2 linked regions of the Arabidopsis thaliana genome follow. The protein of the gene in region 2 interacts with the protein of the main gene of each other region in a pairwise test. Each region holds a gene or a part of one and is shown on either strand. Other genes may lie near its edges.

Region 1 (5,854 bases), on a different chromosome or scaffold from region 2:
CTTTGTAAGTGCGATTAGTGTTACATTTTAGGTTTTTTTCTCTAAGTTAGGATTTTGTTTTGCTTTGTTACGGTTTTTGCCTTTCAGTGTGTGATTAGTGAACAAATGAGGAGCTTTTAGTCACGTATTAGGGTTTGTTACGGATTTTTGCTTGTGCATTTTGCTTTTTCAGTGATCAATGAGGAGCTTTTAGTTAGGTTTTAGCGTTTAATACATCCTCCTTTAGTTTTCTCATTATTTGGTAAAGAAGCTATCACATTGGTTCTCGATCTAGCCACATTTCTTTTTGTCATTAAAATATCTTCTTTTGCTATTTCTTCGATAAAAATGTCGTCTTTTTTAGGGTTCTTTGTTCTAAGTTGTTGGGATTTGTTTAGCTCTTGCTTTGGTATGTTACGGGTTTTGCTTGTGCATTGCCTTTTATTTTTAGTGTGATTAGTGAACGGTGAGGAGCTTCTTCGTTAGGTTTTAGAGTTTAATCCTCCTTTACTGTAGTTTGCTCATTCTTTAGTATATAAGCTATCACATTGGTTCTCGAATTTGCCACAAACGTCTCATCGATCTGTTTTTACTTGCCTCTGAACAATAAACTCTTTGTTCAAACCGCTTCACTTTGGATCCCTTCTTAGTTAATGTTCTTTCCATTTTCTCTGTTCACATTTCATTAATGTATTTTATTGACCTTGGAAATTTTCAGGGTTAAGTAATTGCAGATGGCACTCCCACCCTATGATCCCAATTTCAAATTTGCATTCTCTCTTGGCACGATTGCGAAACACCAAGATTACGGTAAAATTGCCACTCTAGAACATACTCATAAAAGTACATAGCTACTCTGCTTTGCAAGATGTGAGTGAATTGTGGCTGTAGAACTAGTATGTTGTTGAATCAATGCTTTGCCTCATTGCTTTAGTTTTAGCCTGAATATTAGTGCAAGCCAAAACTTTACCCATTAGGTTGATTCTGCTCATATTCTTACACCAATGTCTTAAGTTTTGTTCTTGTTGGCTATGATAACTTGTTTGCTATGATAGGTTTTAGATTCTCTCAGATATTGTGTGTTAGACCCTTAACGTGTCTTGTCATTGTACGTTTTATCATGTTTTCAAATCATATTCTTATCTTGGTAACATGCGAATTACGTTCAGATTTTGATTCATGTTTCCATTTGTGTTTTTGTCTTTGCAGATGAATCTGCTTCTGCTGCTGTTGTAGCGCTTGATCTGATAAGCTCTGCACGGTTTGCACTTAAGCTGGATAGTGTCTATACTGAGTACTCTGCTAAGTATGTGGTGGACAATGCTGCTGGCTCACACAGTGGGCGCAAGCTCACTGTCAAAGACTGTCTTGAGTTTGCCTTAAACAAAGGCGGCATACCGAAAGCAGAAGATTGGCCACGCTTGGGATCTGTGATAACGCCCCCATCATCGTATAAACCTGATCTCGTTTCGATGAAAGGACAAGTGATTGAGCCTCAGACTATTGAGGAAGCATGTGACATGGTGGTGGATCAACCAGTAGGAGCAAAATTGCATGTGTTCAAGCCACACATTGAACTTCAACAAGACGCAAGTGCTATAACTGTTAGTTAAGATTCAATATAAAACGAGAGAGAGAGAGACATTTGATCTATAATATTTGTGTTTTTGTGTGGTAGGGCATTTACTGTGGCACGTCAGGTGAGCCAGCCAGCTATGTCGGACTTAGAGATGCCATCATCGTTGGAGTCGAGAAGATCCAAGGGAAGTCTATTGGAACTGTGAAGGTATGGTACAAGAAGTTCATATTTCTGAAAGTGGCTATGAGCAGGTGGTTTCAGTTATACTCTCCGGATGGCACACACACGGGCATAAAGCGAACAGATTACCTTGTTGATTTTTGTGTCCCACGCCTATCCATGGATTAAGCAAGAAGATGTTTTTTATCTTCTTAATAAAGTATCTATCTATCTAGAGAACAATATGCTACTAGTGGAAGACTTTTGTTTAAGAATAATGTTTCAGGAGACTTTTTAAGATATGTTGTAAGCTCAGAAGTTGATTTCTACTTCTAAAGAATGTTATATGTTCCACCAATTTGGCATTTCAGCTCCTGATCTTAGACCCCTTGAATTGTTTATGTTTTAGTTTTGTTAAAGTCAGTCCTCGTTTGCAGGAAGTAGCCATGATTTGATAACAAAACATGTTATTTTGATTGTCATATATGTGAATAAAATCCAAAACTAATAAATAAGCTTTTGGAGTCCCAAATTATGGCTTCTGCTCTGGATTGTTGTTGTTTGAACTGGACTGTGAGTGTAATCTTCAGGTCTGATTGTTGTTGTTGCAGAAGCCGAAGAACTTCAGTTTTAACGATACGTTCACCTCAAGTCCTCTCTCTTTGAACAACAGGGCGGTGTGGCTTTGGAGCTAAACCCCAAATAATAAACAAAGGATCTTTCAAGATGTTTTATCAAGGAATAGAAGTGTACAAGTTAAAGGGAGAGCTATTACCGTTGGGATTGCCTTGCTCATAGAAACATTTGAAAAGAGAGACAGCTTCTTCTGCCATTATTCCTCCTCTGCACTTGTATCCTTTTCCTCTTTGAGCTTCCTCACTACCTAAGTGAAGCGACAAAATGGAACCACATCCCCCAAATTTATCATTTGGACATCCATAATACACTTCCTTGATACCTTCAATTAAGAGCAGAGTATATCACCTCTCATCAGAAACAAAACAGAACAAACAAACTGTCTAATTCAGCGTAAGGATTCATACCGAGAAACGATAAGGCCGATGCACACATTATGCAAGGTTCACATGTTACATAAAGAACACATTTCGAGAATTTCTCAGCGACTTGTGAAGGTGAGAGTCCATCTTTCTGCCACTGTCCGACAAGCTGATCAATTGCTTCCATCTCTGCATGTCTTGTGGCCTGTTCAAACCACATTGTAACAAATGCCTTAATATAGATGAATAAACCGAAGTAACAATCATACGTTTCTGAGTCACTCAATAAAACAAGATAGAGAGAAACAGTGAAAAAAATAGACTATCCAATAAATGAATGAAGACAGTAGCTTATAACTAGAACATGTATAACAAATCAAGCTTAGTTACTTGTAAAGGTTTGAATAATTACATTGCGTGTCTCATTTGTTCGGTTTCGCCCTGAAGCAATGACCTTACCGTCCTCAAGAAAAACACATCTGGTCCACACAAACCAGAAAGAAAACGCATTAGTTATCCTATATGACATTAATTGATACACTGGTACGAAACACAAATTGGTATGAAGCCAAAGCAAAAAAATAGAGACCCCACGGGAACTTCAAGAGCCTCCAGAGCAAGTTTAGCCTGCAGGCATAGGGAAATCAACTCAAAAGCAACAAACTAACTTTTGCAGTATTATAGAACCAATACTAGTTTTACCTGATGCAGAGCAAAACCCATATAATTATGAGAATCCTCACAATGGTCCTCTTCCATTAACTTTTATAGTTGGCTTGGCCAGAGAAAGTAAATAACAAAACCTGATAGCAAAGATTCAAAAATCCCTAGTTATATAGCTAAGTAGAGGATCAGGATACTCTTTGGCATATCCATTCTAAAGAGAAATTTCTCAAAGAAAACTCTTTTTTTTTTACTTGCAATGTTCTCAGTTTATATGTGTCTACCAAAACTGAAACTAAATAGTAAAATACACGTAACAGAGGAGTGTCAGGAATACAACTAATCACATTATGCTCTCAGGGATGAATCAGATCAAAAAGAAAACAATGCTTGTGAATTCAACAGAAGAGCTATGAACATAAGAGTCACAAACACCAAAAAGAAAGGTAATAGAATTGGAACTGTGATTATTCTGGATGAAGCAAAGAATCGAAGTAAGAAAGAAGAGACAAACCAATGATCTACTCGCTTACTCAGACCGCAACGATCAACAAGCTTCCTCACAATCGTCTCTGAGAATAAAAAACTAAAAATATCAATCCTAAATTTTGTGAAAAACCCAAACCATATGCCAGCCAAAACGTCGTCGTTTATGGATATAAAAAGTTTAAAAGAAAATCATGATTTATTGAAGAGTGAAGTAAAACATAATTTAGGGTTTTGTTCAATTTCGGTTTATTCGGGTCCAATTAGTTTCCGTGTGTAAGGCCAAACCGAACCAAACCAAAAAAATCAATTCTTTTTATTTACATTTGGTCAGAGAGTTCACAAATTTAAAGGTTAGATGCCAAAACAACTTCTGATTTTTATATAGACGTCAATATACACACATCATCTAATTCTTGGTGGTAACTCTGTATCAATTCAATAGTACAGATCATCAAGTGACAAATATAGAGGGAAAGAAGAATGGTTTCATCATATAGTTTGACACTTTGGTATGTCCAAAGGATTTGCCTTTTTACCGAACAAAAGATCAAACATGCAAATATTGCATCACCATAACTATATTCCAAATTAGGTGAAGAAATCACGCCAAATCGGCAAGAAGAATAAGAAAACAAACACATTTGAAAGTCATGAACAAGGAACCAACTCTCTCTTTGTTTTGTGGTCGAAGTAATAAACGCTTTAAACATTTCTCATCGAGCATTATGCAGATGAATGCAGCTACGAAATGGGGAGAAGATAGTATCTTCAAGATACAATGCCAAGAAAACTTATCGAAAACCAAAAAAAAAGTGATCATTTCATGCCAATCGATCAAGATACCTTAGTAGAATCAGTCACAAATTTCCGTATAAAAAGGGTAGGACACAATGAAGGAGAAACAACCTCAAGAAACAGCTAAATTGGGTTATGTTGCTCTTACAGGTTTTGACATTGTGTAACCAAGATCAATCAGCTTTCTAATCAACACTTTCTCAGCTTTTGCCTACACAACAACACAAACAAGAAACAAACAATGAGTATTATCGAATAAAGCTAGTCCCTTTCACATTTCTATAATACAATAGCTCAAGTAAAAAGAAGAACCTCAAGCAAGGGATTGTTTTTAGGGATGTTGCAAGCCAGTATTATATTGAGACCAGTCTTCAACACTAGAACACAGAAAAATACACTGAATCATCAAGAAAGAAAAGGATTTGAAATTGCAAGAATTGTTATAATCAGAGTCTAACCTAATCTACGCGCAATGCCAGATCCAGTGTTATCAGATGTTCCACCAAGTACCGATGTAACACTCACTGTATTGCTCTGCCATAGAAACAAAAAAAAACATCAATTTAAACAGAAACCCTAAAAATTGCTGCTTTAGTTAGAATCAAGGTTTTTACTGAGCTCACCGGTCGTGTTGAAGCGGCTGCGTACAAACTCCCAAATTTGGCGGAATTGCAACCGACCCATACGTAAATCTGTAGTTCGATTAAGTCCAATTTTAGTTCCGACGAAGCTCAAAGACTTGAGAATTAGGTTAAAAGGACCAAGCTAAGTTTATTGGCGGGAACCTGTTTCGCGAGACGGATGATCTGGAACTGGATAGTAACATCATCGAAAACTTCAGTGAAGCACGAAACTTTTACGCCGTTTCCGTCTCTTTCTACGTCGTCGGATTCTCCGATTTGGTCGGCGATGTTCACCTGAGCAACGGATCGAAGAACTTGGTCGTATTCAGTCTCCATTGTCTCCCAAGTCCGAGAAAAGTCAGGTCCTCTTTGGCTCTTCTTCTTCTTATGAAAATCAATTTCACTTTTTCATCTCCGGTTAAATCTGATTTGGTACGGTTAAATACGGTTTAGACCGGCTCAAGTTTTTAGATGGTATAAATCTCAATTGCGAAATTCCTCTTTCTCCGTCGTTGCTCTTCTCCGGCGATACGAGCATCTCTGATCCGAGCAATTTCACTTCCTGAATT
Region 2 (9,280 bases):
ATCAGAAATTGACCTCCTCCGGTGATGATCAAAACGCCTGCGTTTAATTGGAGTGCTTGTGGTGCATTGATTATTTCTATTTTTTTTTGGAATTTTTAATTCTTAATGATTTTTATTTTATTTTTGTGTTAAAAGATAAATTTAAACGAGAGAAAGTAGAAAATAAAGAATCTTAATTGGCCAATAATTATGGTAAGTTTTAATGTGAGGAACTAATATTTCTCTTTTGGAAATATAAATCAGAGATGCATGTACACGTTTTACGACTCAACAAGTCACAACGTTGGTAACAAACCAATTTTTGAGAATCTCTTATAAATATCACATGTGTGTTTAGTAGGTCTCTATGTCTCAAAACACAAAATATCATAACAAACAAAAAAACAAGAATGGAGAATTCAAGCTTTGAAACACTTCCTTATGATCTACAAATGAAGATTCTGTTACCGATGCCTCTAAAAGTCTTGGCGAAATGGCTATGCGTCTCAAAGCAATGTGCATCATTTATTTGCTCCGTAGAATTCAGAGAAATTTACTTGAGTTGATCAATGAAAAAGCCTCGAGTGTTGTTCGTCACCAATGTTTTACCAATCTACCAAAACAAACCCGAAACGTTGTTTCATTCTGTTTGTCAAGAGGAGGAAGCATTGTTCTTGTCTTCCGGTCAACAAGAGATGTGTACCAACGAAACACCACTTTGAAATGTTTCTAAACCCATCCAAGGTTTGATTTGCCTTCAAGATACTGAGGTTGCGATTTAATTTGCAACCTGGCTACGCGAACGTTACGGAAATTACCGCAGATCGAAAGGTCTAACGGAGCATGCATGAAAAGTTTTTTCGGATACTACAAAGCTAAAAAAAGTAATCAAGTTGATATGTATAAGTTTAACTAATAATAACAAATATCATGTATGCACGGTCATGTAATCTAAGAAAGTAACCAAGGTGCGTACCAACGACGCACCACTTTGGAAAGTTTCATGTGTTCTTTAGTCGAAGGATTGATCAAGTAAATGTGCCTAAAATCGTCATGGATCTGAATCAAGACCAATCCATCACAAGATCCCAATACTTGAATGGTTTTATTTTGACATTTGTCGATTGGATCATCAGGAAAAGTGTAGTAACAAGAAGAAGAATGACAGTTTTTTCCGTTGTTATGGTCATCTCTAGAAAAAGTCTCCAAAAGAAAAGTTATTGAGTTGAATCTTCTTCAACAAAATTCGCTGAAAAGTGTTGACTAACATGAAGATATTTCATATTAGGGGTTGGTAAACCTGTACGAACGAGTCATTTGTGGGAAAAGTAGGTTGATTTGATCATTGATCTCCATTTTTTTACAAGACTTTGAATCTAGCTAGTGATTTTATTGGAAGATATTGAAATATCTCTTCAACTATATCCTCTGATATAATCATTGTCGTAGGATTATTTTTTATGCATTGAAAAAATTGTCTTAGAATTATTATGTTTGTCACCCTCCATTCTTTTCGTACGATGATAATTCTTAGTTTAGATTTTTATATCAATATATAAAGAAATTAATGATCTAATCTTGGAGTCTTAAATTTATATTTAACATTAATTGTGGCAAAAGAGAGATTTAACACTATTAATCTACTTTAGAATAATGAAAAGTAAATAAACAAATGTACAATATGATATAATCTTGGATTTTAAACTTTAGATCTAACATTAATTGTGGCAAAATAAAAATTAACACTAATAATTTAGTTTACAATTATGAATAAGAAATAATAAATGTCTATAGGCTATAAATAAGTGTATATATATACAATCTTACAATAATTTAAAATATTGAAATGCAAATCTTACAATATGAATATTGTAAAATGATTCTAACATTGATCTAATAACATATTGATAATTTAACTTTACTAGATTATTGTAATAAATTTTACAACAAATTTAAAATATCAAAATGCAAATTAGTGTATTAAGGCAAAAACAAATATACAAACAACCCTTTTTCTTAAATTTAGTACAATTTATAATTTTAAAACACTCATACACAGGTCTTAATCTAGACTTTTTATTGTTACATAATTTTTTTTTCACCTATCAAAATCTAATACATACAAATATACACGTGTTGCGCGATCAGATGAGCTTATAACTTTGAAAACCAAGTTTGAGATTATCACCATTTACCTCATAACAACCTCTTTCGTCTTTCAGCTAATGACGATTTTCGAATGGCGGCAATCGTCAATCCTCTGTTGTTAGATTAAGAGAGCGCAGTGCAAGAATGATTTCAGTTGGGCCATGCAATGACCTGATACTACAGTAAGTAGAGATGCATTATTTCATGTGAGGATTGGTTAGTGACGGTTCGTTTCTTGCATTCTGTTGTTTCTCTAAAACACAAGTTTCTGACTAGAGAGTACTGAGCCATACACAGTAATAGAAGTCGAAAGTTTTTGGTCTACATAATAATTCAATAAGATTCCAGATTCTTGGAATGAACAAGAACAAAGAATTAGCTTTCTCACCCAGAACCTGATTATCAATCGACTACAACAATGCATTAGACCGTGGTCATTTGTCTAAGTGCGTCATCAGGCAGCAAAACTCTAAACACTGCATAATGATGGTTCAAACTCTTTTCCCCTTGAAGTCTATGAACACTCCCGAGACCACCTGCCGTGGTGTTTGGAAAAGCATAGAAAATCCGTTTTATTCTTTGATGCACAAGCGCCATAGCACACCTTGGGAACATATCACGACTTTATTAGATACACACACTTGCAGAGTTTAAAAGGGTAATATGTATGTAGAAACTCACATTGTACAAGGCTCCAACAGGAGGAAAATGTCATAACCAGTGCAGAGGTACGGCCTTTCCATTGAAGGATCTCTAACAGTCTCTTCTCTGCTGTCATTTTGGACCTATCGATAACTCAGAAGTGTAAGAGAGAATGCTGTACTAGTCAAAGCATGTGGAGGAAATTAAAAAACTTGGTTGGAATGAACTTACGTCTGGACTCTGACTGCTTGTTTTCTGCTTTTTAGCCGGAGAATCTGTATTTGAGGGCGGAACATGATCCTGATCAAAAATCTTGGATGGATTGGGAAACAGATTTCTATCTCTGGCAGAAGAGGATTCAATGGCAACCATGGAAGCATGCCTAAGAGGATGCCACTGGCTACAATTTTCAGTGTCATGCGGCTGCAAACTCCATTGCCAGGGATTCAGACAAGAAAGAGCAGACAATGAACCATTCTGTTTTTCAAGTGTGTCATTTAAACATATTTCCCCTGTTTCCTCGAAGGGCCTGGTCTCTGCGCTAGTCATGTCACGAGGAGCAGATGATGCATATACTTGATCAGTTTCACTAGCTATTATTCGCCTAACTGAAGGATCAACTATCACTGCAGCATTCACAAGCTGAAAAGTACATTAGAAATGTGGTAAATTGAGATCATTTTCTATGTAATGAAACGATGGTAAATCTTTCTACCAAGAGAACAAGGATTGAGGCGCTAAAAAAAGCAAATGGTACATGAAAAATGAATGGTCTGTTGTCTAAAACTTGATATCGACGTTATGTAGATCAATGGAAAATACTTACTGGTGTATGACCAGATACTGCCATATCAATAACAACTCTCATGAACTTGCAGATTGATTGTGTTTCCTCCTCGCTGAACCCACCGATGCCATCTATATTGCTATCATTGCCAAATGCAAAAAGTAAAAAATCATTGACTGTTGCACTATAAACAAAGACATATATTGCTATTACAATGCAGATAAGAGCACCAATAGAAACCATCAAGAAATAAGATTATTCTAGAACGACTAAAGCATATATAATAAAAAGACCAGAAAGATAATAAAGACTCTTTTGGTCACAAAACTGATTCTAGACATGGAGCTTACTAGGTTGGTGGATGAAATGAAGTAGGCCATATCTTACTTTGTTCTTCCCACTCTTCTTTGGATACCGCAGCATATTTGCATACCTATCATAGTTATAGCAGAAATATGAGATTGCACTGAAAATATAAATGAATGAGCAGAAAGAAATCTCTGACTTGGAAGCTAAATGAATCAAAAACCCTTGAAGCAAATAGTGGTGAGATAAGAGAAAAATAACCTACTTGTGTAATAAAAGGACTCAACTCATAGGGATCAACGAGTCTCTGCACATCAGGTGGCATGTCACTCAACTGATCGTTGTGCTCAGGTGCTAGACATAAGATGACAGTCAACTGAGTTTCACCTGTCCAATAAGCTTACAATAAAAACCTCATAATCTTATGATTGGTGTATCAGCGCGCTAAGAAAACTAACAATGGGATACCGCAATCTGGCAGAATCTTCTTCTTCACCCTTTTAACATGACGAAGATCTTCTAGAGGAGCAATCTTACATAAATGCCTATCATAGCAAAGTAAAAAAATTCACTCATGAGATTACAGCACTGGAATCAACGAGTCAAGAGTCGAAACAAGAATGACAAACCTCACTATCGTATTGGCAAATCTGGGTTTGATTAGGCTAGCATATACCTTCACTGTGAACAACAAGAACAACACACACACACACACAGAAGAAGAAGTTTAGATAAAGAACCTTTGATAGACTAAAAAACCAAACTTAGAGATTGAATCATACCAGTGGGCTGATGGTCAGGTGACAATGAAGGCTTTTCAGGTATATGGATAATTTCCCATGCATCTGAATCCATAATTTTATTTTATCTATTCTTGAGCCTGATTAACACCATTAGCTCAAACTATAAGAATTAGGGAGAAAACAGAGACGAAAAACTCCACCTTTCGCAGTGAAGTTTGAATAAGAGAACTCGCAAAAATTCACACTTTCAATTTCTAGATTCAATAAGAAGAGTGGTGAGTAAAACCCAGTTAAGGCTTTTCTAAGCATTCTTATTGAACAGCATTATCGAATTCACTAGTTAAATCATATTTCAAACCAAGTGCTCACACACAGATGCAATTCCAGAAACCGTAAAAGAAGGTAATTAATCATTACAGAGATTAGATTAACTCACGCTGGAGAGCTTGCTCCAAGCAACAAGACACAGAGACGCAGCGAGCGATAGCCGATAGAGAGGAAGGAGGAGTTCACCAAAAAGGTCAAGAAGACGACAGCTTACACGTCGCCGTTTTAGGTCTTATCTAATTAACCTAATTAAATTAACAAAGTCTAATTAAAAAGAGCGGGACGACAACTAAACCCTACGCTTACATAAAAACGCGACCTTTAAGAATTTTGTACGGCAACAGAACCAGAGAACGTTGACGGCTAAAGGCGGCGAAATGGACGTTGATGAGCGGAGCAGCTACTGTATCGAGGGTATGGTCGTCTGTTGAGATTGAACTCTCCGATTGATCCTGCAAAGAAGAAGAAGAACATCAGTGAGAAGGAAACAACAATGATGAAGAACAAGAAGATTGGAAACTAGAAGAAGAAGACGACGTAAGAGAGAGACGTGAGAAGAAGAAGAAGAAGAAGAAGAAGAAGAAGACAAGAGAAGTGGGTTTTATGTTTTATCTTATTGGGCTGATGAAGTTGTGTAGGCCCAAAGTGGTGAAGTATGTTTTGTTGTGGCCCATTCGTAGAAGTAGCTTATTCTAGCTAAGTACTTGAGGTAGAGTAGTTGGGGTTGTTAGTGGCTAAGGTAAGGTTGTGTAAGGTTGCTTGTATCCCTAAGTCTAATGTCTAGAAGTAAGGTTAAATAGTGACTAAGTTTAAGGTCTAAGAGAGTGGGTATGGTGAGTAGAAGAAATCTCCTATATATATGTGTAATGTGTGTAAACTTATGAGTGTGTGAAAGTATGAAAGTTTAAGAGAAAAAAAACAAAACAAACTTGTGTCCTAAGCAGAAAAACAACATCGTCGGAGATGGGGAAGGGTGTTCGTCGGTTCTCTACTGAACCAGAGAACGATGTTCCAACTTCAGGAATCAGTTTGCCTTATGCCACAAGATCATAGCTACACAGAATTCAATTTTTCGAAACCCACGTTTAGTGAATCAAATTTAGAGAACACACGAACACACTTTAACCCAGATTTCTTCGAAAACCATTAAACCCCAATCCTATGAATCAGATTCCAAAGATAGAGAATATATCAATCTATGAGAATAGAAAAATGAGAAAGATGAAAGATTAAGAGAGAGATATCGAACCTTTTTTTATGGCTTCTCACAATCAAAGAAGAGAGTTTAAAAAATAAGAGATCGAAGAAAGAAGATTGAAGAAGAAGAAGAAAGAAAAAAAAAAAGAAAAAAAAAAGAGACGTCGTCGTTTAGTGTTAAAGAAGAAAAAAAAAAGTTTGTAGGCATGTTCGTTTCATCAGTAAGATGGATCATTTCGATGGAGATGAGTTTTGATGTTCGTTTGGTGCCAAAAACGGTTCATTCAGATGATCCATCCAAATGAATCATCTGGATGAGTTTGAAAATTTAGGCTAAATTTTGAAACTCATTTGACTGAACTAAATTGGATCATTTGGATGGAGATGATTCAATCTAAAATAACAAATGACAAAAATACCCTAATTATTTCAATTGATTATTTAGATGTATTTTTAGATAAAATAAATAAATAGATTTAAATCTTATTTTACAATTATTTTTTAAAAAATAAAAAATTAAATTTTCTGCTAAAACCGCAAAATCATTTTTTTTGCTAAAACCGTAAAATTCGTTTTTCAGCAAAACCCGTACAATTACGTTTTCCCGCCAAAACCGCAAAATCATTTTTTCCTCGCAAAAATCGTAAAATTCTATTTTCCCGCCAAAACCGCAAAATCACGGTTTCCCGGCAAACCCGTAAAACCGTGATTTCCTGCCAAAACCAAAAAATTACGTTTTTCCACCAAAACCGTAAAATCGTGTTTTTCCGCCAAAACCGCAAAAATCACGTTTTCCCGCCAAAACCGTAAAATCACGTTTTCCCGCCAAAACCGTAAAATCACGTTTTCCCGCCAAAAACGTAAAATTTTGTTTTCCGCCAAAACTGTAAAATCGAGTTTTCCCGTCAAATCATAAAATCACGTTTTCCCGCCAAAACCGTAAAATAAATTTATAAATATAAAAAACTATTATTTGAAATTTATTTACTTTTAAATATATTTTAGATTAAGAATTAGATGAAAGCATGGGTATTTTAGGTATTTGTATTATTGCAAATCATTTGGATGGAGATAGAGATAAGTAAACGAACAACATCTCATTCGGATGGTCCAGTCAAATGAACCGACTAAAAATAAAACGAACAAGAGTCGAATGAATCATCTAGATGGACATGTTGAATGGATCAATTGGATGGATCTGTCAAATGGAGAAACGAACAGAACCGTAGTATAATAGGGCCAGCCCTATAAAAGCCCGAAACCTTTTCTGCAAAACCATATTTAAGCCCAAACGTTTCTCCTTTGATTTAATCGGGACCGGGCTTTTATTTATTTTAGCGGACCTGGGCCGACTCTAAATGTTTAGCCCATTTTAACATCCGTACTTTTTATGGTGATCTTGTAATGTTATAAAAACTGGAAATTATTTTCTACATGTATAGCGCTGTTGCTCACGTAACATATATAGTTGCTGATGTAATTGGGTGTTTTAAAATCTATTTAGGATATTTTGGATGAATGATGATTATTTTTTTAGTCAATTAGATAGTGGTCACTGATCAGCATCCATAGAGCATATTCCAACTAAAGATTTCAACAGTTGGTGACCGGTCCCTCTGTGTTTTCCAATATATTTAACACAACTTTACATAATTTTATAACCAATATTGTTTAAGATTTTGAATTATAGCTAAAAAGAGAGAAAAAAACAATATTGATTCGGGCCATCAATTTTTTTGGACCAACCTTTGCTAGGAAAACGAAGATACACATCATAAGGTGACGTATAGAACAAAACGAACAGACAAATAAAGCATAACAGATGTAGTTTGTAAAGAATAAATGGTGTAGAACGAATAGAACAAAAGCTGAATAGATATCTTAATTAGTTTGGTGCGAGTAACGGATAAATGAGTTATCAAATTTTGACTAATGTTTTGAAGTTTCGAAATATATATATGATTGTATTAATCGGTATTTAACGCTTATGATTTTTCAGTTTATACTTGAATCACCCTACTTCTTGAGGTTGGTGTGTTGTCCAAATATGATTCACAAAAACATGACCAAGAGTAAAATCAAACCGCACCGTATTATTTTATTATGCTTCATGACACCATTCATAACCAAAGTCTTCTTAGTTTTCCCCATACACACCAATAAAGATACTAAAGAAATAGCTAATAAGTAATTTAAGAACTATGAATCGTAGCCGTAACTTTAACTATACAAGAATAGCTGTATAATCGTGACAGCCCTTGACTTTGGGAGATATTGTCCAATACTCCAGTTAAGAGAAAGAAGTGGGAATGTGGGTTACATCGACAAAGGCTTTGCTCCAAGTTAATTAATGGCTATAATTGGCGGAATATATTAGTGGAAAATATAAAGGTGAGAAAATGATTTCTACATGCCTTTTAGCAATTAAGAGAAATAGTGGAAAACAATTATTTTCTCTATATTCTATGAAATAGCAAAACAGAAAAGAAAGAAAAAAGAAAAAAAAGAAGTTCCCCTTTGAAATAAGTGGGGTTTCATTGAAAATTCAAATAGTACTACTCTTTCATTCTTTTAGTGTCCAGTCAACGTTCTCGAGAAGAAAATATATTCAACGATTAGTTTGTTGTTACATGAGTTTATTGAATTAAGTTTTTAGAATGAATATATAAAATCTTGAAAATTGGATGCTTCAGAAGCAATTTTCAGAAATTTTGTTCAATTCATGGTAATAAAATGTTCAATTAATTAAAGTCATTTTTCAAGTGCAAGAATGGTAATGTTAGCATAATACAGCGGATATATATATCCTCTTTGAGGATAAAGAGTTGGTGGATATAAATATAACTCATGTTATTTCAATAATAGTCACAATCTTTTCTTTACATGCGTATATGAAAACATATTTGCACAACTTATTCCTGAGTTTAGGACCATTATTAAGACGATGTATTATTATGATCTATTAACATATAGTTGTCTTTGATGAAATTGACAGCTCATTGGGGCTATAATGTAAGAATTGTTCATTACTTTTACTTACGAGCTACAGTTTAGACTTGTATAAATAGATTGAATTACTAGTATTTATGGTCCAGTAAATATGAAATATTCATTACTTTATATGTATAGCAATTAGATCAAAGTAAAATGG

What was found. The genes of interacting proteins can lie anywhere in the genome.
Region 1: the proteins of EMB2820 (region 2) and emb2191 come close enough for resonance energy transfer, tested with the Arabidopsis thaliana proteins (one study listed by BioGRID).

The regions. Positions count from the first base shown.
Region 1 is NC_003070.9:17,788,577-17,794,430, reverse strand, and holds emb2191 (Cytidine/deoxycytidylate deaminase family protein), read right to left. Parts: upstream 4,068-5,854; 5' UTR 3,893-4,067; exon of another isoform or gene 3,519-3,892; 5' UTR 3,475-3,518; coding exon 3,418-3,474; exon of another isoform or gene 3,343-3,417; coding exon 3,305-3,342; exon of another isoform or gene 3,245-3,304; coding exon of another isoform or gene 3,195-3,244; coding exon 3,128-3,194; intron 2,921-3,127; coding exon 2,761-2,920; intron 2,676-2,760; coding exon 2,493-2,675; intron 2,409-2,492; coding exon 2,365-2,408; 3' UTR 2,100-2,364; downstream 1-2,099. Other genes in the region: AT1G48180 (target of trans acting-siR480/255 protein), read left to right, coding at 714-789, 1,189-1,583, 1,658-1,906; AT1G48170 (proteasome assembly chaperone), read right to left, coding at 4,796-4,873, 4,975-5,039, 5,121-5,196, 5,286-5,354, 5,448-5,621.
Region 2 is NC_003076.8:8,444,317-8,453,596, reverse strand, and holds EMB2820 (Cytidine/deoxycytidylate deaminase family protein), read right to left. Parts: upstream 5,644-9,280; 5' UTR 5,252-5,643; exon of another isoform or gene 5,178-5,251; 5' UTR 5,042-5,177; intron 4,743-5,041; 5' UTR 4,718-4,742; coding exon 4,645-4,717; intron 4,544-4,644; coding exon 4,492-4,543; intron 4,408-4,491; coding exon 4,331-4,407; intron 4,262-4,330; coding exon 4,128-4,261; intron 3,990-4,127; coding exon 3,907-3,989; intron 3,696-3,906; coding exon 3,596-3,695; intron 3,412-3,595; coding exon 3,001-3,411; intron 2,913-3,000; coding exon 2,809-2,912; intron 2,732-2,808; coding exon 2,551-2,731; 3' UTR 2,516-2,550; exon of another isoform or gene 2,305-2,515; 3' UTR 2,028-2,304; downstream 1-2,027. UniProt on the Arabidopsis thaliana protein: Involved in RNA editing. Catalyzes the specific deamination of adenosine-34 in several cytosolic tRNA species. Generates inosine at the wobble position of the anticodon loop.